Lepisosteus oculatus: one gene and its partners. The protein of the gene in region 3 interacts with the protein of the main gene of each other region in a pairwise test. Links are inferred from orthologs where the notes say so. Each region holds a gene or a part of one and is shown on either strand. Other genes may lie near its edges.

Evidence for each region.
Region 1: the proteins of nav2a (region 3) and pias2 interact in binary tests that used the Homo sapiens proteins (3 or more experiments, as listed by UniProt). The two-hybrid records come from large-scale screens. The link is inferred for Lepisosteus oculatus from reciprocal best matches to the Homo sapiens genes NAV2 and PIAS2.
Region 2: the proteins of nav2a (region 3) and rbm15 interact in binary tests that used the Homo sapiens proteins (3 or more experiments, as listed by UniProt). The two-hybrid records come from large-scale screens. The link is inferred for Lepisosteus oculatus from reciprocal best matches to the Homo sapiens genes NAV2 and RBM15.

The regions. Positions count from the first base shown.
Region 1 is NC_090698.1:40,483,363-40,490,980, reverse strand, and holds the start of pias2 (E3 SUMO-protein ligase PIAS2), read right to left. Parts: upstream 3,025-7,618; 5' UTR 2,702-3,024; coding exon 2,678-2,701; intron 2,005-2,677; exon of another isoform or gene 1,919-2,004; intron 1,104-1,918; coding exon 635-1,103; intron 1-634. UniProt on the Homo sapiens protein: Functions as an E3-type small ubiquitin-like modifier (SUMO) ligase, stabilizing the interaction between UBE2I and the substrate, and as a SUMO-tethering factor.
Region 2 is NC_090700.1:37,400,567-37,408,060, forward strand, and holds the start of rbm15 (RNA-binding protein 15), read left to right. Parts: upstream 1-4,472; 5' UTR 4,473-4,650; coding exon 4,651-7,263; 3' UTR 7,264-7,494. UniProt on the Homo sapiens protein: RNA-binding protein that acts as a key regulator of N6-methyladenosine (m6A) methylation of RNAs, thereby regulating different processes, such as hematopoietic cell homeostasis, alternative splicing of mRNAs and X chromosome inactivation mediated by Xist RNA.
Region 3 is NC_090716.1:7,202,965-7,210,891, forward strand, and holds the start of nav2a (neuron navigator 2), read right to left. Parts: upstream 3,009-7,927; 5' UTR 2,105-3,008; coding exon 1,850-2,104; intron 1-1,849. UniProt on the Homo sapiens protein: Possesses 3' to 5' helicase activity and exonuclease activity. Involved in neuronal development, specifically in the development of different sensory organs.

The DNA of each region.
Region 1 (7,618 bases), on a different chromosome or scaffold from region 3:
TGTGAAAAGAAGACTACTGATGTCTCTTGGGACTGGTCATTCTCCATGCTGGCCTTCTTTCTATTCTTATAGCAAAATGCACAAATACATACGTTGTGCAAACCTACACCACAGATTAAGCCAACTGCTCCTTCCCAATGATGATTCCAAAGCTATAATCAGGCAATATCTTTTCTAAGTGCAGCCATAAAACGTGTGTCACGAGGTTGGGTTGAGACTGTCACATTCTTAAAATTGCCACTGGTTGCATTTGCAGAAATTGTTCTTATGGAAAGATTTGCTAGTGCAGACACTGCGTGGTGAAATGCTTTCACTCATTTTGCAAATTTGATTAGACCCCTCAAAATTCAGTATGATGATTGTTCAAAAATAAGATAAGGGAGATAATAAAATTATAACGCTCCTTTATGTCCTATAGTCCACAACCAGCAAAAGTGCCTAATTGTTCACAATTTACTCTAGAACGTCATTATCTGAATTAGCGTTGCAAAGAAAAACAGCTAAATATAAGAAATATCACTGATTGATTACTTGCTTAAAAGCAGCACTCTATTATATTTACAATTACAGTGGGCAATTTCTAATAAAGTATTTTGCATGCACAGTGCAGAGCAAAGAAGAGACAGATGCTTACCCAAGCTTGAGGGTTTGATCAGGACATCCAGCACATCGTAAAATGGCAAACTTTTCAGCTGGACGTCAGGATGGACAGGCGGGATGGGAGGTGCCGGCTGCTGCATGTCGATCCCGGGCTTCGTCTCGTGCAGCAGGACAGGACTCTGCGCTGCGGAGTGCGGCGGGATCGAGCCAGGCGCGCGAGAATGCACACCGGCTCCGGCCAAGTCCGGGTCCACGAGGGAAGAGTTACTATTCAGGGAGAAGCCGGAGGGCTTGAGGGCAGACAAGTCGGGGAGACTTTCGATTGTTCTGGGGTAACGTCGTCTATACAGTTCCTTAATTTTGATCTGAACAGCTGGACTGCACCCACTCTTTAGCAAGTGCAAGGCTCTCAGAAGGAGTTCATGCTTGCGACCGCTCTTGTTACGTCCTGCAAAGCCCAATAAAACCTGTAGCTCTGAGACCCGAAAACTTGAAACCATATTCTGAAAAAATACAAAAAATATAAACATTTGACGGGTGTTTATTTGGTTCAGCACAACTTCAGCAAGGCAGAACACTGGGCAAATTATACTATTGACACCATAATAAAAGGATAATCTACCATCTCTACAAGTGTTGAATAATCATAGCTCTTGTGCTACAGGGCTCCTTTATCATCATTTTACATCACAAGCAGAAAGGCAAGAAAAACATCACAAAGAACTAATTGAGATTAAACCACCTCCTGAAGAGCTCAAGAACTAGAAGTGTTCACCACTATAGCAATGTGCGGGTAAAGTGACAAACAAGTACAAAACACTTTCTACGGCGACAGCACCTTATGAAGCTCCAATTATTCCTATTAAATACTCAAACAACTAAATTATTTTTACTGTGTCAGTCCAGGGATGCTTCAGTGCCATCTTATGTATGAATGTAAGAATGAGGCTTACATTTCCTCCAATAACGGATTTGAATTCTTTATAAAATGAAGTACATCAAAGGCACACTGTAGACGTTAGAAAGCAGCCAGGTGTGGTTTCTGTACAGGATTTTGAGTGCATTCAGGAGAGTGAACGGTACTTTGTCTATTAGCACGGCGGGGGGAAAACGACTGTCACCTCTGGAGCAGTAGAGTTCCACCGGCTCTGCATTGCTCGCTGAGCGGCATGTAGTTTATACTCCACCCATACACATCTATAATATCCATCATCAATTTGACAATTCTCCCCCTTAACTGTGGTTTGATGACCACGTCCCTCCCAAGAAATCCCATCTGAAAAACCCACAGAAAAAAAGTAAGAAAACCCCGACTGACCCTTCATTATATGGTCCATGCTTGATTGTTCTTACTTGTTAATCCTTTTTCTTTACATTTCCTTAACAAATGTGATCGTATAGCATCTAAAATGTTAAGAATAATTCCAAAACCCATTAAAAACGGGAAAAGAAAAAAAACAAGGCAGACAACACACGTACTGTAAGCAGTCCTTGTCGCAAACACACTGCAACAGAGATTAAGCAACAGTTAAAAGTTGGAATAATAAAGAGATAAAGGGCACCATAATCAGAAGCACGGAGTTCACAACAGATTGCACGGTTCTGGTGACAAAACGGTTGATCTCGAAATCGGTAGAAATGCATCTGCTATACGGATGAAGAGGCTACTTACATGGTTTCGAGAATTGGCACAAGCTGTAAATATGTACAACACAACAGTCTAGACCAGATGTTTTGGCGGAAAAAATACCGTTCATAAAACCTAAAAACACATCTACGACAACAATGATGAATCAAATAGCAGAAAATGTGTACTTAAAGACACATCTATTAGAATTCAAAAGTTACACTCAACAGGCCTAATAATATAATTATTTTACGAGACACCAAATAAACCGTAACCTCCGACCAAAACACAAGAGGCAGACATTAACGTCTCCACTTAGTAAACTCCAATTAAAATATCAGTTCTAATGTAACGATTCCATAACAGATATACCCAATCATTCCAATGCTTTACGACGATGCTCAGTGCTCTTTCTATGTAACACGAAATTAATTTAATACTTTCTCCTACCCTCAGCTCCTCAAAATCCGCCATTTTCTTTCCGCGACCATCCTGCACCGCTCCAGGGTACCACCCACGTGACTAGGGTGAGCCCTTGAAAGAACTGGGAAGCGCAACATAAGAAAGGACAAAGCGTGGGCCTATTGCATGTTATCTAAAAGGCTTTACTGGAACTGGTCACATTGAAGGCAGAAGTGTCCATTTCTGATCGTAAACTGCAGAGATACAAAAAAACATTAAAGTTGCCAGTCTTGCAAATTATAATTATCAGAGTTTTGGTAGCTTGCAGTGCCACTGCTTCATTTAGAAGGCTTTTGGAAGGATATTTGAATCAGCATCCTCTACAAAACTAGATTTTCTTTTCTTTCTTTTCTTTGTTAATCCTCTCTCTTTGTGTAAGCAACTGCCTACTGTTCCACGTACTCCCTCTCCCACCAATCAGAGGAGCCCTTGTGGAAATTAAGGCTTGGTACATTTAAGACAGAATGAGAAGTCATTCAATCACTCTAAATGACCCATATTTGTATTAATAAAATCCTGCAAATGAAGCTTTAAGAAATTAAGAAGATTACTTTAAGAGGTCTACCCATGGCTGTTTGATTACCTCATGGGGCCCAAGATCAATTTGTAAAACAAAACAAGAAAAATAGTGATTTCAAATACTTAAATAATTTACATGGCAATTGGTACTGAAATGTTGGCAGAAATTTAAACAATGTGAATCTTTATACAATAATTTGAAGGTACTTTATTTAAAATGCTAACAACATGGTAAAACATCAAAATAATATGAAATATGTGAATATTTGAAATCTGTCAAGTAATGTAAGAGGCGGAATGCTTGACAAATTTTAAATCACACTCTCAAAATTGCAGATAATGATTTGAGATGCAATATAAAGTGAATTTGACATAAGTAATGTTCTGTACTGCAGCCCCAACTTGCAAAAAGAAAGATTTTCTATATTCATTCCAGATAAAAAAAAAGATCTGAAAAACTTTTTAAACGGAAAACTGTAACACAACCGACTTCTTAATGAATTCCTTCTGTTCTGTTAAGCATTTTACAAAACAAAATCACACTACAGTCAGCTCAGAATCGTTACTAATATATACTATCTTATGGCAAAAGAACTATACCAGAATGAATACGAAAGTGATACCAAATACAAAGGCTTTGGAAATCATCACTGAAACTAGATGTTGCTGTGCATCCTATTGCCACAAGATGGGAGCATCACCTCATAACTGGATATGCTACAACAAAACATGCAGAACTTTTTCTTGTTAAAAAAATAGAAGGAATCAGAGTCATTTTAATGATCAGCAAATAACCTATTGGCATAGTGTAAACACCCACATTTTTAATTCACAGACATCATAACTGGAATTATTTTTAAATGATCAATGTTGTTCCATGTTGTTTCCACTTGTGTTGTTTAGTTCATGTTTCAGTGTTCTTTCTGAAGAAGTGCACTACAATGACTTAATAGAATATTCCAAAGCTCTGGTGGTTCTGCTATTTAGAAAACAAAGCACAAAAAAACAAAATATACACTTGACATACAGTACTGTAAATTCCTGCATTTAATTTACAAAGCCAAACAATAGAATAATTATGGGGTTTTGTTTGTATTTTGCATTTTCTATTTGATCAGACGGTGATGAAAATCACATTCATCACCATCAATCCATCCATTTTCCAACCACTTCATCCAATTCAGGGTAGCCGGGGAACCAGAGCCAGCGTTTGACAGGCGAAAGGCAAGGTAAACATTGAATGAGATGCCAGTCCATTGCACACACACTTTCAGACACACTGGGGAGCACCCAGAGGAAACCCCCATGAAGCTGAAGAGAACATACAAACTCCACACAGATAGCACCACATGTACAATAACTCAGGGCCCCAGCACTACAATGCAGCAAAGCCAACATCTGCACCACCGAGTCACCATTCATCAACATACTTTAACATATTTATTTGTCACTACTTTAGCTTCTGATTTATACAGTATGATGGAACTTTCCTAAATTATTGACCACATATTCCAGAAGAACTAGTCCAGAGCTGTACAACACTGGACAGAGAAAAATAACGAGACTCTGCTGGGCACTTGAAATCCACGTGGTTCACTTCAATAAGGCTATATTAGTGTCATTATACCACAGGTGTCAAATCCACACCATGAGCAAAAAGTATTCCAAGATTACTGAAACTCTATGAGATATAGACATACATGTGCAAAACGCAGTGAAAAAAAGCTGGAATCAAAACTCTCCTGAAGAAAAAGGGGATGTTTCCATTCAGAAGGATGAGAACATTAGAAAGGTCATACAAGAGCTCGATGGCCGTTAAACCCATCAGGCACATTTGTTTCTATTTCTGTGTTGTTCCATAGCCAGTATTAGTTCTACGAGGAAAAACTGCCCCAAGGTAGTATTGAATACCTTAACCATAAGCATGATGTTGCCTATACACAGAATAAGAACTGAAGAAAATTTATGCTTTTAAATGATCTTTTCAAAAGCGTCTCTGCATTAATTGGCTAAGGTTACTGACTGATTTTAAGTGCTTGAAATGCATCTACAGCATATGTTTTCCCTTCATCCCATTAATTAATTCCAGGGTGCACGCATTCAGTAATTCGGTATCCAAAATGGCCTATTTAGAGTCATTTGAATGATTTAGCATGCCGTCCTGCACAAATATCAACTATTTACTTCTACAGACACACTGTTGCAGTCAGCAAAACCCAGGAAGCTTTTCCATTTGAAGGAAAATCAGAAATAATGAGAATCAAATAAAATATGCAAGGTAAACTGCAATTTCTGTTAGGAACTGAAACAATCAAGATGCAGATTGCACCTTTCTTCACTTGAATTGATTTACGTTAATAAGGATATATCACCGCTGAGTCTAATTAGCAAATGTGTCTAAATTGTAGCTCTCAGTAAAATAATCTTTGTTGTTGTCTTCTGTTCTCTGTTAGAACTATTGATCATGGAATAACTGAAGTCTAATCTAAGATAATTTGCATGTTACAGTATGCTAAGAATGCTGGTAACAGGTAACTGCTTGATAACAGCTCCAGTCTTTTATTAAAATACCTTATTAAAGTAATAAAGCATTGCATTACAATAATTATACTGCATGATTATTTTAGAAGTACAAATTAATATTAATGGAGTGAACTGGGTGCTCTGGGCAAACTAAATAAAAATATCGTCATAACCAGTTTGTAGCCTTTTATGGACCACACCTAGCGTGCAGTGGTTCTTTAAGCAGTAACCAAAAAAACGAATGTCGGATTAATTAAGAAAAATCTTAAAATTGGAATTACATAACATTTATGCCATCCCTGAAAAATGAACTAATCTTACCAGTGCAATATTTGTGCAAGTGATGGACTATTCACAAATTCTACAATGAGAAGAGAGAATCAACAACACACCATTACAGCAAGGGAACCTTCTTCAAGTGAGTTTTATTTTCTTTTTACTTTGAAGTGGGAAATTAATCTTTTCTTCAACTTTTTAATACCAAGCACCTGAAGAAGAAAGAACAGCATTGTTGTACCAAAAAAGGATAATGTACTGTAGTTATATAGAACTATGTACAGTACAAATGCTAATATTTCACAAAAACACAAATTCTGCATATACTGTACACCACATTGTTACTCACTTGCCATCTCACGAGAATGAGTTTCTTCCATGAATCCGAAGGGGACTGACAAAGCCAATCAGGGAACCACACACTCTGACAACTTGAGCAGGTAACAACTTGTCTCAGGAGGCATCCTGATTTATAGTGTGCAATATGATCATGGTAAGCTCCCCTTGATACTCTTGCCTTGCTTCCTCAGTTTGACACCTTTGTTTCTTAAAGTGCTAGGCTTCATTCCAAATATTCTTCCTCCTTCTGGGTTTTTAAAAAGCCATAATCTCCAAAGAATTGATAATGTTATGATTTATACACTTGATGTATTGTCATGATTAAGCTAAGAGACAACATAAATAAACCAATGGAGCTGATGGGAGATGAACGTGGCAGCAATGCTTGGAGAAACAAAAACAACTAAGTGTCTCAAGGATTTGTTCAGAATCAACAGTGGACCTCACAACAGAGGACAGAAATGAAAGTTACAGGGAAGTGTTTTTAGCACTGAGAATAGGAATCACTTTTTTAGCAGAAAATCCACAAATTGAATGTCTCATGGTGGTTAGTGTAGGTATTCATGTAGAACCTGATGTTTAATTACATTGTTAGGGGCAGTACAATGTAAGCATATACAATTCAATTTCCTGTTAATCTGCTAAAAGGGTCCCTGACGAAAATGTTCCTAGTAAATAATGCAACATGACAGCCATAACTGTGGTCACGGGAGGACTATGCACACAGCTGTACAGCTGTACAATTTGCTATACACGTGAAGAAGAGATTTACAAATCTTTTTTCATAAAATCGGATTTGAGAGCCATACAGTAGCAGCCATAGACTCAGTACCGTTATTTTCATTCAGGTCAAGATACAGATCTTATATAATACAATATCTGAAATGTAGTGAAAATATAAGATATTTTGGTTGGATTTTGATTGAAAATGAATATGATGGGATGTATTCATGAATGACAAGAAACCTGCCGAATTTCAAGTCGGTCAGTACAGCGATTGTACTGCTGCTGCTTTTCAATGCAAACACGTAACATGACAGCCATGCCTTTAGTTTGAGCATTTGTGATAGAAACAGATTGTGTTGTACTGGCAGTGGTGCTGGAATTAGTCTTTTGTCACTGTGTGGTAACTAGAGGAAAGTTAAACTCAACGTATTTTAAAACCGATTAAAATTGTAAAAAAAAAAGAAAATGGTCAGATGACTTAATGTTGATACAACATTAAGTTATCTGATCATTTTCTATTTTTGTACTTTTGAATGTCACCAGGTT
Region 2 (7,494 bases), on a different chromosome or scaffold from region 3:
TGAGCCTGGTCAGTACCTGGATAAGAGACCTGCTGGGAAAACAAAGGTGGCTGCTGGAAGAGGTGGTAGTGGGACCAACAGGGGGCGCTCATCTGTGTGGGACCTAATGCCCCAGTATAGTGACAGGAACACTATATTGTAAAAAGGCGCCATCCTATGAATAAAATGTAAAACCCAGGACTCTCTGTGGAATTTCCCACAAATTCCAGGGTACTTCTCAAAAAGAGTAGGGATGTTACCCCAGTGTCCTGGTCAAATTTCCCATTGGCCTTTAGCAATCATGGCCTCCTAATAATCCCCATCTATGAATTGGCTTCATCACTCTGTTCTCCTCCCTAATGATAGCTGATCATTGTGATCATTGTGAGTGTGGTGAGCATACTGGTGCACGATGGCTGCTGTCGCATCATCCAGGTAGGGCTACATATCGGTCGTGGTCCAGAAAAGCACTATATGAGGGTAAGAAATTATTATTAAATTATTTTTAAAACAAAAGAGATGGAGAGGCAGGTAACAGGGGTTGTTTCCAATAATAGCCTAACAATTAAGATGCCCTAATCAGAATTCACCCAAACCATCAGCTTTTATGACATTCATTATCTTCTTTTAAATCATGTTTGACTTAAGCCACATGAATAGAGTGGTGAACATGTGGAAGATATAATCAGTGAATATTTACAGCAGCGAGACAAGAACGACATTGGCAGCTGTGTGCTGATCTGAGCCTTAACTGAGGCTGCTGCCTGTAAGATAATGGAGCTGGGCTTGAGGAACAGCTCATTAGTGTTTGGAGGAAGATCCACAGCTACAGTGACTGTTTCATCAATGAAGCACATCGGTTCTTAGGTACAGACTGTAATAGCACTGGAGCTGTTGCTGATCCAACTTGGCAAAGGCTGAGAGTTTCCATTTTTCAAGGCTTTTATTTTTTGTTGCAAGAAGATAACCACTTCACTTTTCAGGTTTTTTTTCCACAGATAGTTTGCCCTGTGTTACAGAATCTTGTAAGCGGTAATCTTTTTCAACAACAAATTTATAACGGCAGTCTCAGTGGACTCAGTGGAATCTTATGAAGTTATCTGTGGACAATGTTATTGTTTTCAAGGTTTGAAAAATGTGCCCTAGTTGGATTGATCTTGTGTCAATACAATAGGAAACAATGGGTGTGAAGAATTAATGGCCCATCGTTTCGGCAGCCACAACTACAGAGGGAGATAACAGGAAAGAAAATCCATCAATCCAGCAGCCATATCACCCTGCAACTCACAACTGGCAACCCACTGAAGCTAAGCAGGTGTGAGCCTGGTCAGTACCTGGATGGGAGACCTCCTGGGAAAAACTAAGGTTGCTGCTGGAAGAGGTGTTAGTGGGGCCAGCAGGGGGCGCTCACCCTGTGGTCCATGTGGGTCCTAATGCCCCAGTATAGTGACAGGGACACTATACTGTAAACAGGCGCCGTCCTTTGGATGAGATGTAAAACTGAGGTCCTGACTCTCTGTGGTCATTAAAAATCCCAGGGTGCTTCTCGAAAAGAGTAGGGTCTCCTGGACAAATTTCCCATTGGCCCTTACCAATCATGGCCTCCTAATAATCCCCCTCTATGAATTGGCTACATTACCCTGCTCTCCTCCCCACTGATAGCTGATGTGTGGTGAGTGTTCTGGCGCACTATGGTTGCCGTTGCATCATCCAGGTGGGGCTGCACATTGGTGGTGGTGGAGGGGAGTCCCCATTACCTGTAAAGCACCTTGAGTGGAGTGTCCAGAAAAGTGCTATATAAGTGTAAGCAATTATTATCTGCGTGGAGTCTGTATGCTCTCCCCATGTCTGCATGTGTTTTTTCCAGGTGCTCTGGTTTCCTCCCACTGTCCAAAGACATACTATTAGGAAAATTGGCTTCTGGGAAAACTGACTCTGGCATACGTTTGTGCATGTCTGTGTTTTTTGTTTGTGTGTGCCATGTGATGGACTGGTGTCCCGTCCAGGGCGTGCCCTGTCTTGTGCCCTGTCTTGCCAGGAGAGGCTCCAGCTCCCCCACGACCCTGAACTGGATGAAGTGGTTAGAAAATGGGTGGATGGACGGATGAGATGAGATTACGCTGTGAAGCTCTGAGTTAAAATCCTGTTTAAAACAGATGTGCTGATTACTGCCTAGCAATAATTGTGCTTCGGCTAAACCTCATAGGCTACAATACTGCCGTTAACCTCACCAGTAAAGAAACACTGAGCTTCTTGTATTGGCATAAAGTCACACTGAGAGGCATTAAAAACACATCAAGTATTATGAACAAATCCATTTGTTGCATTTTATATGCCTCTGGATATATAAAGTTTCATACAAAATATTTGTACCTTTTGTTTTAACTTGCTAAAAATCTTGCTACCACTTGGTAGAGTACATGAATGAGAAATACATTTAGATGATAATATTTTTAGTATAGTTTAACAAATATATTGATTAAACATAATAGGGTATTGAATAACATTATTGGAAATGGTGTGTGTACAAATGTTAGCCAGCAATTGTATCACTTAATTTTCCATCACACACTCTGGCTATTAAAAATGCATAAGATCCGTTCAAAAGCCATTTTAGCAATTAAAATTGTCATCCAAGTAGGATGATTTTGAACAAGTAAAAGCACATAAATGCAGTTCACGGTTCCCCCTGCTGGTGGTTTGTAGACTTGTTCCCTAAGTAAGACGCAGTCAGCTGTATGATTTGTACATTTTAACTTAAAACATAAGCACATTTATGTCAATACTTTAGAGTAATTATACTGCTTACAAATAATAATAACATTGGAAGTGTTTAAGTAACCCACTGATTTCACCTCTGATCCTTAAACGCTATGTCTTTCATTCCAAATGAACAGAGCCCATAACGACTTAACTGAGTTCACAGATCTGTATTACTACTGCTATCAGGTTTTCAACAATGGAGGCTTGCTCACCCATTTAAACCTGGCTTGTAGTACCCATTATCTGCTGGGCTGTTACTCTCATAGACCACGCATTACTGCCAGTGCACAAGTCCTTCAAAACCTTTGCAAAGACACTGACCTGGGAATATTGCTATTGCTGAGCTGCAAACTTTTGAGAACAGAAGAATATTTCAAACAATTAACAGGAACAGTAAGCATGAAGAATGTTATGAAATTTAACATTCAGATCAAATGAAAGCTGCTTAAAAACTATAGGCCTACCATTCATAATGCCATGCAATACACCATGAATATCAGCAAGGGTTATTCTCAGACGAGGGACAGAAGCCCCTGGGAGATTACAAATAATAAACATTACATTTATTATTTTGATCCTTTCGAAAATCAGGTTGCACTCGTGAAAACACAAGAAAAGTAGGTTGCATAAACTTACTGGCGCAGGAACATATTACTTACATTTAAATGTGTTTCTAATACATTTTTGTGGTTTATACAGTTTACCTTCTAACAACAGGAAATGGTGTGCCCGATTTAAAAATCCCTTTAAACACCACATAGCCCTAAATTACTCCAGATAACGACTGATTTTTTTTTCTTTAAGAGATGTCTTATATTAGTTACATATATTTCAGGAAGACACATAATACACAAATACACATTTTCATGCTACAACTTAATCGATGTAACGATACACATAGAAGACAGAAAGTATATAAAGTATTCGGGTTGATAGACAAAATATTAAAATGCAGGAACGCCCAGCATTTCTCGAACTCTTTCAGTTTATGTTAAAAAAAAAACACTTTGTACTTTGGGTGATAAACTGTTTAGCACGCTTGGTTAAAACTACCACAAATACAGTACACGACACGTAACTGAAAATAAGAAAAAAAACGTACTTTGTTAGACGTTACCATAGCCACGACTCACTAGGGTATGATGTACCAGGTGTTCCGAAAGTGAGAAACTGGAACAGTGTCCTCGCCATTATGGATTCTATTCTACATAGAGTGACACATAATGCAGCTACCACTACTGGAACCGTAATGGCTGCCATTTCCAAAAAATAAAAGAACCTTTGTAAAGCAAATATATGACGGTAGCAGAAAAATAAAAGCTTATCTTCAACGAAGACATTGCTGTTTTCTTATGAAAAAATAAAATGTCTTAACTTTATGTAAAAATACATTATGTTATTTAAGAATTAACATCAGCTTGGACGGGGCAAAGACCCAAGTCATGTGGGCGGGTGCTTTTAACACATTTTGTGCCAATAAAATAAGCTTAATTTTGAGAAAACGATTCCTGTTTAAAACAACGTTGTTTTTAGACAGGGTATAATAGTGCCAAAAATTAAACCGCTTTACAGTTTCTCAATATAAATGCAGCGTGCTACGACTGAAGCCGAGTCCCATAAAGCAACACAAAGACCCGTATTGAGTGGCATTACTTTTAGCCAATAACATTCTCCCAACCGACACAGTTCCACCAGTAATAACGCGAAGGCGGGGTCTATCATGTGTTGTTCCAAAATGGCGTATGCGGGCTTTTTGCTGAAGGGACAGTGAGGGGTGGAAAATAACTTGAATATTTGGCAATAATATAATAAGAAAAGTAACTGAGAGTGGCTGCCCGTGATAACGTGTTTAGTGATTTGCTTTTTTCGAGTGAGTAAAAGCCGGCCTGAGGGAACAATAGTTAAAAGATGAAGGGCAAGGAGAGATCACCGGTGAAGAAGCGCTCTCGGGCCTTGGACGACATCCGAGACAGAGGAGGAAGCCACCCCACCAGCAAGAAAATGGGGACCCTCTCAGCGGCCGGAGGCAGCAACAATGGCAACAGTTCCGTCAAAAGCGAAGGGGGCTCTGCTAGGAGGAGTCTGCTGGCCGAGAAAAGAGAAAGTCGGGACTTCGACGGACACGTTTCCAGCCGGGCCGGGGGCAATCACAGCTATGCCAACGCCGCCGCTAGCTCCAGCAGCAAAAACCACAACAACCTGACTCTCGACCCGGCCGCCACCAGGACCAATTCCCGCGGGGAGCAGCGGCCTCCGCTCACCAGTACCGAAAGTGAGTACAAGACTCTAAAAATAAGCGAACTGGGTTCGCAGCTGAGCGACGAGGAAATAGAGGACGGGCTGTTTCACGAGTTTAAAAAATTCGGGGACGTGAGCGTTAAAATCAGTCGGATTAACGACGAAAGGGTGGCGTTTGTCAACTTCAGGCGGCCCGAGGATGCCAGGGCAGCCAAGCACGCCCGGGGAAGGCTGGTCCTCTACGACCGCCCTTTGAAGATCGAAGCTGTGTACATTAACCGGAGAAGAAGTCGCTCTCCCATTGAAAAGGAGGCTTATGCAGCAGTGGCAGGGCACAGACATTTGCATGCCCAGAGACCTCTGTCCCCCACTGGGCTTTGCTACAGAGACTACAGGCTGCAGCAGCTAGCCCTGGGTCGCCTACCCCCTCCCCCGCCCCCACCTTTACCCAGAGATCTGGAAAGGGAAAGAGAGTATGCCTTCTATGAAGCACGGGCACGCCCAGCTTACAACATCGCAGAACGTGCCGCCGCTTTCCGTGAGGAAGAGCTGATTTCGCCAGAAGATGACCAAAGAGCCAACAGGACTTTGTTCTTGGGGAACCTGGATATTGGCGTCACAGAGAGCGATCTGCGCAGGGCGTTTGACAGGTTCGGGGTGATCACCGAGGTGGACATTAAACGGCCCTCCCGTGGCCAGACCAGCACGTACGGTTTTCTCAAGTTTGAGAACCTGGACATGGCTCACCGGGCAAAACTGAGTATGTCGGGTAAAGTGATCTGCCGAAACCCCATTAAAATTGGCTACGGTAAGGCCACTCCCACCACGCGCTTGTGGGTGGGCGGACTCGGACCCTGGGTTCCTTTGGCTGCCCTGGCCAGGGAGTTTGATCGTTTTGGTACCATTCGGACTATTGACTACAGAAAGGGGGACTCGTGGGCCTACATCCAGTACGAGAGCTTGGACGCAGCACAGGCAGCTTGCACCCACATGCGCGGTTTCCCGCTGGGGGGACCGGAACGGAGGCTGAGGGTGGATTTTGCCGACACGGAGCACCGCTACCAGCAGCAGTACCTACAGCCCTTGCCCCTGCCTCACTACGACATTGTGGCGGAGTCGTTTGTGCACCGCGCTGCCCCGGAGTCGCTGCGGGTTAGGGAGAGGACTCCTCCGCCCTTGCACTTCAGAGAAAGAGAACTCTACCCGGCCACCGATTGGGCTGCTCCTCCAGTCCGGGACAGAGTGAGGGCGGCTTTCGATCCCCTGGACCATCTGGACCGGGAGCGCAGGCCGAGGGAGGCCTGGTCCCTGGAGCGAGAGAGAGAGCTGCAGAACCGTGACCAAACGCGCAAGCGGCGGCTGCTGGAGGACAGCCGCCACCTGGACCGCTCTCCTGACAGCAGCGAGCGCGCCCGAAGGCGTCACTGTCCCTCCCTTGAGCGCAGCCCAGGGGGGAGCAGTGGCAGAGACGGGGGGCGATACAGCGATTCGGAGCGGCCCCTGCGCTCCGAGAGGCCCTCCCCAGCACGGGACAGGCATGCCAGCCTGGAGAGGGCTGCTGGGGAGAAGCGGGGAGGAGAGAGGTTAAAAACTGTCAGTGCGGGGGAAGCGGCTGCAGGCGGAGTCGGGGGTGGGGCAGGATCTGGTGTGGAAAAAGAGCGCAAACGCAAGATCAGCGAGACCAGCAAGAGCCCAGCCAAGAAGGAGGAGCGCTTCGAGATGAGCTCTTCCAAGGGCAGCCAGGGGCTGAAGCAGGAGGCAGGCCAGAAGCTGTGCCTGGCCTGGCAGGGTATGTTGTTGCTGAAAAACAGCAACTTCCCCTCTAACATGCATCTCTTGGAAGGTGACCTCAACGTGGCAACCAGCCTGTTGATCGACGGCTCTACAGGTGGCAAAGTGGCCCAGCTGAAAATCACCCAGCGTCTGCGTCTGGACCAACCGAAGCTTGATGAGGTTACCCGACGTATCAAGGTGGCAGGCCCCAGCGGCTACTCTGTCCTCCTGGCGGTACCAGGGAACTCCGAGGGCGGGTCGTCTTCATCTGAGCCAGCATCGTCCACCCAGAGGCCGCTGAGGAACCTGGTCTCTTACTTAAAGCAAAAACAGGCCGCAGGAGTTATCAGTCTCCCCGTAGGTGGCAGCAGAGACAAGGACAACGCTGGAGTCCTTCATGCTTTCCCTCCCTGTGATTTCTCTCAACAGTTCTTGGATTCCTCTGCTAAAGCTCTTGCCAAAACAGAAGAGGACTACCTGGTGATGATCATTGTTCGTGGGGCATCATAAAAAAGAGAAAAAAAAATCTTGTAATCTATCCACAGCACTGCATGCGCTCTGTTCTGCATTATGGGATACAGCAATCTCTAAATCTGGGGGCTGCGGGCCCTCAGATGTTTTGCCAAAAAGAAAAACACCTTCCTTTTAGAAAAAAAAATATTGATCCACAGGTTTTGGGGGTCCAAATAGCTAAAAACAAAAAGCTCTGAAAACTTCAAATTCATTGTCATGCATGGAAAA
Region 3 (7,927 bases):
CACTGTGACACTGGGGTTTACCAAGTTTCTTAAACTACTTTCCTGTATAGTAAGGAACATATTTGTGTTTTTTTATTTGCACGGTTTACAGATGTAACAAAAACGAGGCGCTGTGTGCAAAATATTTTTGGCATTTTAGCAACAATATATTGGCAGCGATAACAGACATATGAGAAAGGCGATACTAACTACAGTTAGAATCAAAACAAAAAATAAGAGTCCTAGAAGGTCTGACAGCCTAATAAATATGAAAACTCTATACAAATTGTAAAATATAGGCTAAACTTTGTAAACGTTCAAATTGCATAAATTGCATACAAAGCTACATTTCTCTGTATAGATGCCAGATGGGGCAGAGTCACAGGTTACTGGTTTTATACCCTTTTTAAAACATCTTGAAATAACCTACTATTTCAAACACACTATATCCCAGATAGAATACAATTACACAAAGATCAATCTAAATTAGAAATTACCACACTTTCAATTATAGAACGGCAGAACATCCAGCCTTTACAAAATAAAAAACGTTATGTTCCTAGCCCCTTTTTAAAAATCTGCTGTAGTGCCCTGCCTGAGCAAGCCTTAAATTATCAGCTATATCCCTGTAAGACCTATTAATATGTGCACAGTGCACCACATTTCCTCTATAACATCCAAGATAGAATTTATGTGAAGGCTATATATTTCATGGCTAAATTTACTTGCCAACAGAGAGTGCCAGCTAGTTTCGTAAAGGTTAGAATTTTTTAACGTTATCTTTAAATAGATACTAACCCTCCTTAGCAACAGGCACATACAGAGAACAACACCCCCACACGCATGAAGCTTTTACAGTATATCAAACTGGTAGGAGCTTATATGCAGTAGCAAGGATCACTCTAAACCAACTGTCTATCACTTGCATTTAATTCCACGGTAAGCCCATTAAAAGACAACGCTGTGGGCTTTTTACATTTTCTTCTTGGGGAAATGTAACCAAAGAGATATGCTAGAGACGTAAATCCTCACAAGGAGTGGATCAGGGCTGGAAATGTGCACAGGACTTATAAACACGTTTCTTTTCACAACCCTGACACGCCATGAATATCACAGGGTCTTTAACTATGAAATCATATCCTGTAGTTATTAAAGGATTAAAAATTTCAACTTAAGGACTGCCACCTAAAACATTGAGATACTAAATAACAGAAGAGGAAAAAGGAATATATTAGCCTTTAAATGTCTGCAACATCTTTTCTTGAATATACAATACATGCAGGAAATAGGTCACACTTTAGCTTACTGTATTAGCCAATACCTCTTATGAATATATTTCCACAGCATTCTCATTATCCTATTAATAGATTTCTAACCAGCAGTAATGTGAAATGCATATTACTTAAGCAATGTCAACTGTAAAAAATGACACTTACAGCAACCCTACATTCAGACTAATTCTTCAGTTTTTACTTATAGGATTGCAATGCTTAAAGTGGACAACAGTAGAATCTACAATTTTCAGACATTGAAAACACTAATTGTGAAGTTATTTCAGGGATTTTGGTCTTCAAAAAACAATTAACCACACACACGCACATGAAATGTACGTTAACACCCGCAAATCAATGAAAATGATATTCACATTAGAGGGACAAGTTATGCATTACACATACACTAAGGTGCCAATTCTAATAATCATCACCATCATTATTAATTCTGATTATAGCCAGTACGACTGTTACAACTATGTCTCCAATGCATTACCTAGCAAACAGAAAGAAAGCATGGTTTCTCTATAGAAACATTATTCTAAAACAAACACACACCTACACAACACAGAAATGGAAAACGCAAGGAGTGATCTAACCTGGGTGTCAAATCCATTCTCTACAATGCTACCCTTTTTCTGGGGAGCCCCATTCCCTTCAGTCTCGTGCCCGTGGGGTGATTTGAGGGGGATCTGGCTGGAGTAGGTAGGCTTGCAGACCTCCAGCTTGCTGCCCAGCTTCAGGTAGGAGGGCTGGGGGATAGTCCTGACTGGGACATGCTGGATGGGAGCTGCGCTGTGCACGGGCTTGGGCAGTCCAGACTTCATCTTTGAGGCCACCAGAATGGCCGGCATCTTCCCTTCTTGCTTTCCGAACACGTTTCAGTCAGGAGGAGAGGCCAGAGCCCTGAGAGATGTGCTTCTGACAGGAGAGGCAGGGAAAAAAACCCAGCAGCTGCTGTAGTGAGACCGCGTGCTTCTCCCGATTAAGAAGCACAAGCAGAACCAAACACTTACGGCAGGAGAATCGGAGCTCGCGCTCAGGAGCGTCCTGACAGCCTGCTGACAAGCGGTTGAATTTTTTTATCTAGTTTTTAATGGTAAACCATCGGTCCCGAGTGATTTGCTTCGGTTTTTGCCCTTCTGTCCCCCGTTGGGTTTCCAGAGGTAGTGTTCCCACCTGTGCCTCAATAATGTGATACTTCTTCCCACTGAGCTGTGCCTTCATTATCCTCTCATTACCAGCTGAACGGAATAGTGATGCTCAAACAGGGAAAAAAAAACATTTGAGGCAACTTGCTGCTACTGTACATATGCTTTCCTGTCACTGTAGAGGAGTCATTGCAGGATTTCCAGATTAAGAAGCCTTTTCCTTCAGCGTTAGCCAAGTAGCAGATGTAGCTTAGCAAGTTAATGACTAATGCCCTTGGAGAGGAGACTCAGGGAGACAAGCATCTTAGTCTAACCATCCTCCTTATGGGCACAGTTTTTCTCCAAAGCTTTCTTCACAGACGAGGCAACGCATCCCAGTGCCTTCTTAAAGATCTCCGTCACACAGCTGATGATATGAACTCCTGACTAGAAATGAACCTCTTCCTTCACACATGTTCCACGCAGAGAAACAGATTGCCTCTCACCCACAGACGCCAGGCAGCACAGCTGATTGCTGCCTTCTGTTCACATTAGATAAACCGTCTCTTGCAGGTCAGATTTAAGAACCTTTTTTTTAAAAAAAAGCTGTCAGGTTCTCCTGGCTTAGCTGAAGGAGGCAACAGAGATTAGATGAAGAAGAAATAGGGTACTGTGTGACAGTAGTGGAGTGCTGCAATCTGATTGGCTACATTCACTGAAAAAAAAAAAAGGATCCCTGCAAAAGAGGAGGGGTTTGCACGGAGGATTACAGAAATTCCCTGTCATTTCATCGCAATACAGCGCCTGCGCTATTCCAAACTAACAGAGAACTGCAACAGGCATATTGTCCTCTGAGCTCCTCAAAGCAAAGTCTGAACAGAAGCTTTGGTATTTTCTGAAAGAAAACACGCAGGGAACATTTTTTAGGGCAAGACTGCATTATGAGCAGCCTAACAAATATATTTTAATGCAGTTAAGGCAATACATGTCCATTTCTATTTTTAATATTGAATCAACAGTACGTCCTTTATGCAAAAAACATTGTCTATGACTTGGGCAGCTCAAGCTGGTGACTAAATCAGCCTCCTACAGTATCACCATACCACTGTTTTATTTCAAACTGGCATCTCTATATAAAATACTTAGTGTACAGGAGAGTGGCTTATTGAAAAGGAAAGTAATTTTACTTGTGCTTGTCAAGATTGAGGGCGTTTAATCAATTAAAATAAGACTGTTAAGACTTTTTTCTTTGATTCATTCTAGAACATTATGTATATAAAAAAATGCATTAATGCTGAAAATTAATTGCCTTAATGGACTCGCCACACATATGATGTCATTGATGTTAAGTTTCTGGATGAAATTAATGTCGACTGCAATTCCATAACATAGAAAGACAAACTGATGCTGTGACTCCCTCACTGCCTGCGGTAATCCAGTTACCATAATCTTAAGTAATGGAAGTCCGAGCTGATCTGATTATGGGTGTGTCTGAGTGTTAAGAAAGCCTGGAGAAAAGGCTTCACGTTTTTAACTCATCAGTATAATAGCCTGCCAAGCTAATTGGAGTGCTCACAAAATGGACACAGAGACAGGGAATCGAAAAATAAAGTCATTTCACTTATGTTTTTCATTTGTTTTGAAGACATGTAGACTTTTCAAAAGTTTACCTCAAATAAATAGTACTGTACTTTTAATTACTTACAACAGTAATGTATGTATGAGTTATCCAGTTCCTACGTTACCCTTCCTACAGAAATGTGCAATGCTGGAAAAAGAAAAGGCATGAAGACCCTTTACTATAATTAGAAGAGCAGAGCAGTAGGTTGATGAAGACAAGCTACACTTATCCTCCTACTATACAGTAGGTGCCACCTCCAGGCCTTCGGCTTCTTTCGTTCCCTAAATGCTCAGAGCTCCTACAGTGCAACAGCAGCAGGAGGACAGGAGCTGCTCTCCCTGATGACTCTCAGGTCTCAGTTTTTTACATGAACCTCCACAGGAAACATGAGCTTGTTTCAAATACAAGAAAGAACCACACAAAGCTCCAGATCCACACTTTTGAATATGGTCTTTTTTGGTTTTGTTGCACACCTGAGACCTTTCCACAGCATGTCAGTGTGACATAACCAAACTGAACACTTTTTCCCCACAAATAATCTCATTAATTTAAATCTACTAACTGATCCAAACTTAAATACAGGCCTACAAGATAATTATGAATGTTTGTGTTGTATATCAATGAAATATGACAAAAGAGCATTACACTTCACAATATTATCAACAAACACATAAAAACATTTACATACACTCCTTTTCAAGTCAGCAACAAAGCAGTTTGGGGGAGGGGAGTTCATTCTAAAATGAAATTAAATCTAAAATTCTCAACTATTTAATGTTGTAGTCCTGTTTACAATTTGTCCTCCAGGCAAGAAAGAAAACAGGTTCCCATGACAACAGATTTATTTTTTTCAATTTTATATTCCAGTACTTCAAAGAATAAATATAGCATATTCCATTTTTTTCTGGTCTCCCAAACCCACACCTTAAATTAAAAACTTCTGACATACGAGTTCCTGGAACAAAAAAGCAAATTGATGCTGTTTTGAAGTCATTTGTTTAAACTAGGGAACAAAGAATGCTTTCTGTAGAATTCAGACATACAATTGACCTTAGGCATTAGTGGAAATAACCTGCAAAAATGGCTTATGTAGTGAATATATAAAGCTAGGAAATTGGTCTGCACCAGAAAAAATTCAGTCCATTTGGGACCAATTTAGTCAGATACCTTTGCATGTCTTATTCCTTCAAAAATGTCTTATTTCTTATAATAAGATCTCAGGTAATCCAAGACAAATACCACTGCAAGGGCTATACAGTAATTGATGGGAAAACCATACAACTGAGTCACAGCCTGACCTGGTTTCCCAAAGAAACAAAATGTCAAACAAACGGAATGAACAGTACATGATCCATAACATAGACAGCACAGTACTGTTTGCAATACTCACTACACCCCTGGTTTCCTAAAATCAAATTTCCTGAGGAATCAAAAAACGAAAAGCCAGATCCGGTCTGCAATTTCAAGACCATATCACTGCCACTATAGACTTCACTGCAATTTAGTCATATTCTTTACAAACTTTCCCACCATCCTTTAAAAATTGGTTTGGCTTCGGCATTGGTCCTAACCTCTATTTCACAGCCTTTTATTCCATTTTGTACTGGCCCCTGAAGGCCTTTCAGCTATGTCATCGCTCCACTTGATGGAGTGATTTTTCAATCACAAAGTTTCAATCATTGTGAACAGACTTTGAAAGAATACAGTACTGAAGGGACAAAGAACATTTGGGTATAAAAGTAATTTTAACTAACCAAAATGACAACGAAATCCCACAGTAAGCACAGAAGCAGTTTGGGATTTTGAAGGGCACGTTGTACATCTGGTCACCGTGTAAACAAGTGAACGCATCTGAAGTGTGAAAAAATCATTTTGACTACTCTCCACAACAGAGGTGAAACCAAAAGAACTTAAAAAAAAACAAGAACACGGCATGTTTATTAGCTGCTCCCCACTGAGAGAATAGACATTTGCAGCCGTGAACTGGTGACATCTGACTTAGTGCTGCATGAATTCTCTGTGGGGGGGCTGGGGCGGGGGAAATGTCCAGTCGTCTCTTTTACATCACATTTTTCCAAAGGATTTTTCCCCTTACGAAAAAAGCAACACAAACCAAAACACTCCATTAAGTTTCCAAATAGAACTTTAAATAGAGGACAATGGAGCAAACACACAGATTCATGGTTTTATGTAGGGCACTGATTTGATTGACAATTTGGAATAAGACATAGCTAAAACAAAAGCATGCCTAGAACACCACAAAAACTCTGAAAAGACCTTTATTATTATTTATTATTATTAAAGGACGAGGTTTTATCATGGCGAGCACTTAAGATACTGAAAGATGGCTAATACTCACTTTTAAAGGAAAATATGAAATGTTTATTGTCCCTATTTCTTATAAAGACACAGTACTTCTCTAAAATTACAAAAAAAAAATTCCTATTACAAAGGTTCTCACCTTTTCTCAACTGTGAAACAATTGAAGACTAGAGTTCAGACACAGCACAATTAAATCAGTAATCAACAGATGATTTTGTTAACATGTTGGATAATAATATACGAATCAGTAGTTGATAAATTGTCTGTGATTTTAAACTTGAATAAACCACCACTGTCAAATTTGTAAGTAGAGTATATCAGAGTCTTTAATAGAGAAAAGATCAATCAATTATTAGCATTGGTCATCACTTGTAAAACGACTGCAAGGGCGACTCACTTTACTTTCGATGCAGCAGCAACAGATCTGCATTGTTCTTCAACAAATTGTATAATGCAGAAGATGCAAAGGCTAACAGGGCAATGATTTCCACTCCACTAAAGCAGGTCAACATTATCTAACAGACAATGGAACAACACTCTTATTATAATGTTATAAGAATGTTATTAGAAAATATAGCCTGAAGGAGACAAATTCTTCCCATTGTAACACTAGATGGCTAAACCAATGCTTTGCAAATAGAGCTCATCTTAACTAAGTGTGCAATGTCACATCCAATAAAGATTCCCCAACTTTATAGGAACTTATATATTTGTTGATAATGTGACTGTGTTAGTTAAAGCTTTTCATGTAAATTCTCTTTCCCTTAGCCTTTCCCTGTAGCCTCTCTCTTTACTGACCAGTAAGGAGAAAGGCTGATACTAGCAGGCGTAAGGCCTTAATTACCGCCCATAGGTCACTCAGTACCTTCACTTTATGTCTTCAGGAACCATCTCCTCAAATCCCAAGTATTTATTATGCAGCTGGCTATCTTCTGTCATGTATGTGTGTTACTAACCACCATGGACTGTACTGTCCTCCTTCCCACTTACAGTACAGTCACTCCAATCCAAATGTGTAAAGGAATACCTGTGTGTCTGCAAGAACGTTACTATCCAAGCTCAATGCAGTGACCCCAGCATGTAGCAGGCATGAGGGCCACTCCTTTGGAAGGGCGACGACAACAGCAGATTAAATCTGCTCCATGTTCACATCGTGAGGAAAATATTTTGCAGGTGTGATTCAGTTCTCCTGGTGGGGGGAAGGGTGGACAAGCTGGAAAAAACAACAGTACCATCACAGCCACACAAAAAAAAGAAAAATAAAAACCAGGAGAGAGCTGCCTTCTCCTCCCTCTGCATTTCTGATTCTTCGCACAGCCCTGTGATTTTATATCCTCCCCTGTGTGCAGACAGCACCGGAGAAAGCTAAATCACGTAAAAAAAAAAACAAAATAAAACACCACTAATGTGAGAAAAGGATCTAGGGGCTTTAATGGCTCAATGGAGAGTCTTAAACCACGCATCTCTACAAAATGCAACATTCATGATGTTGTAAAACATCCAGTGAACAAAAGAATCCCATAAACACTGTTATAGTGCTACAGTTCTGAAATGTACCAAGGAGTTCTATCGCTCTGTGTCCCACGTGAGAAGACTCTCTCCAG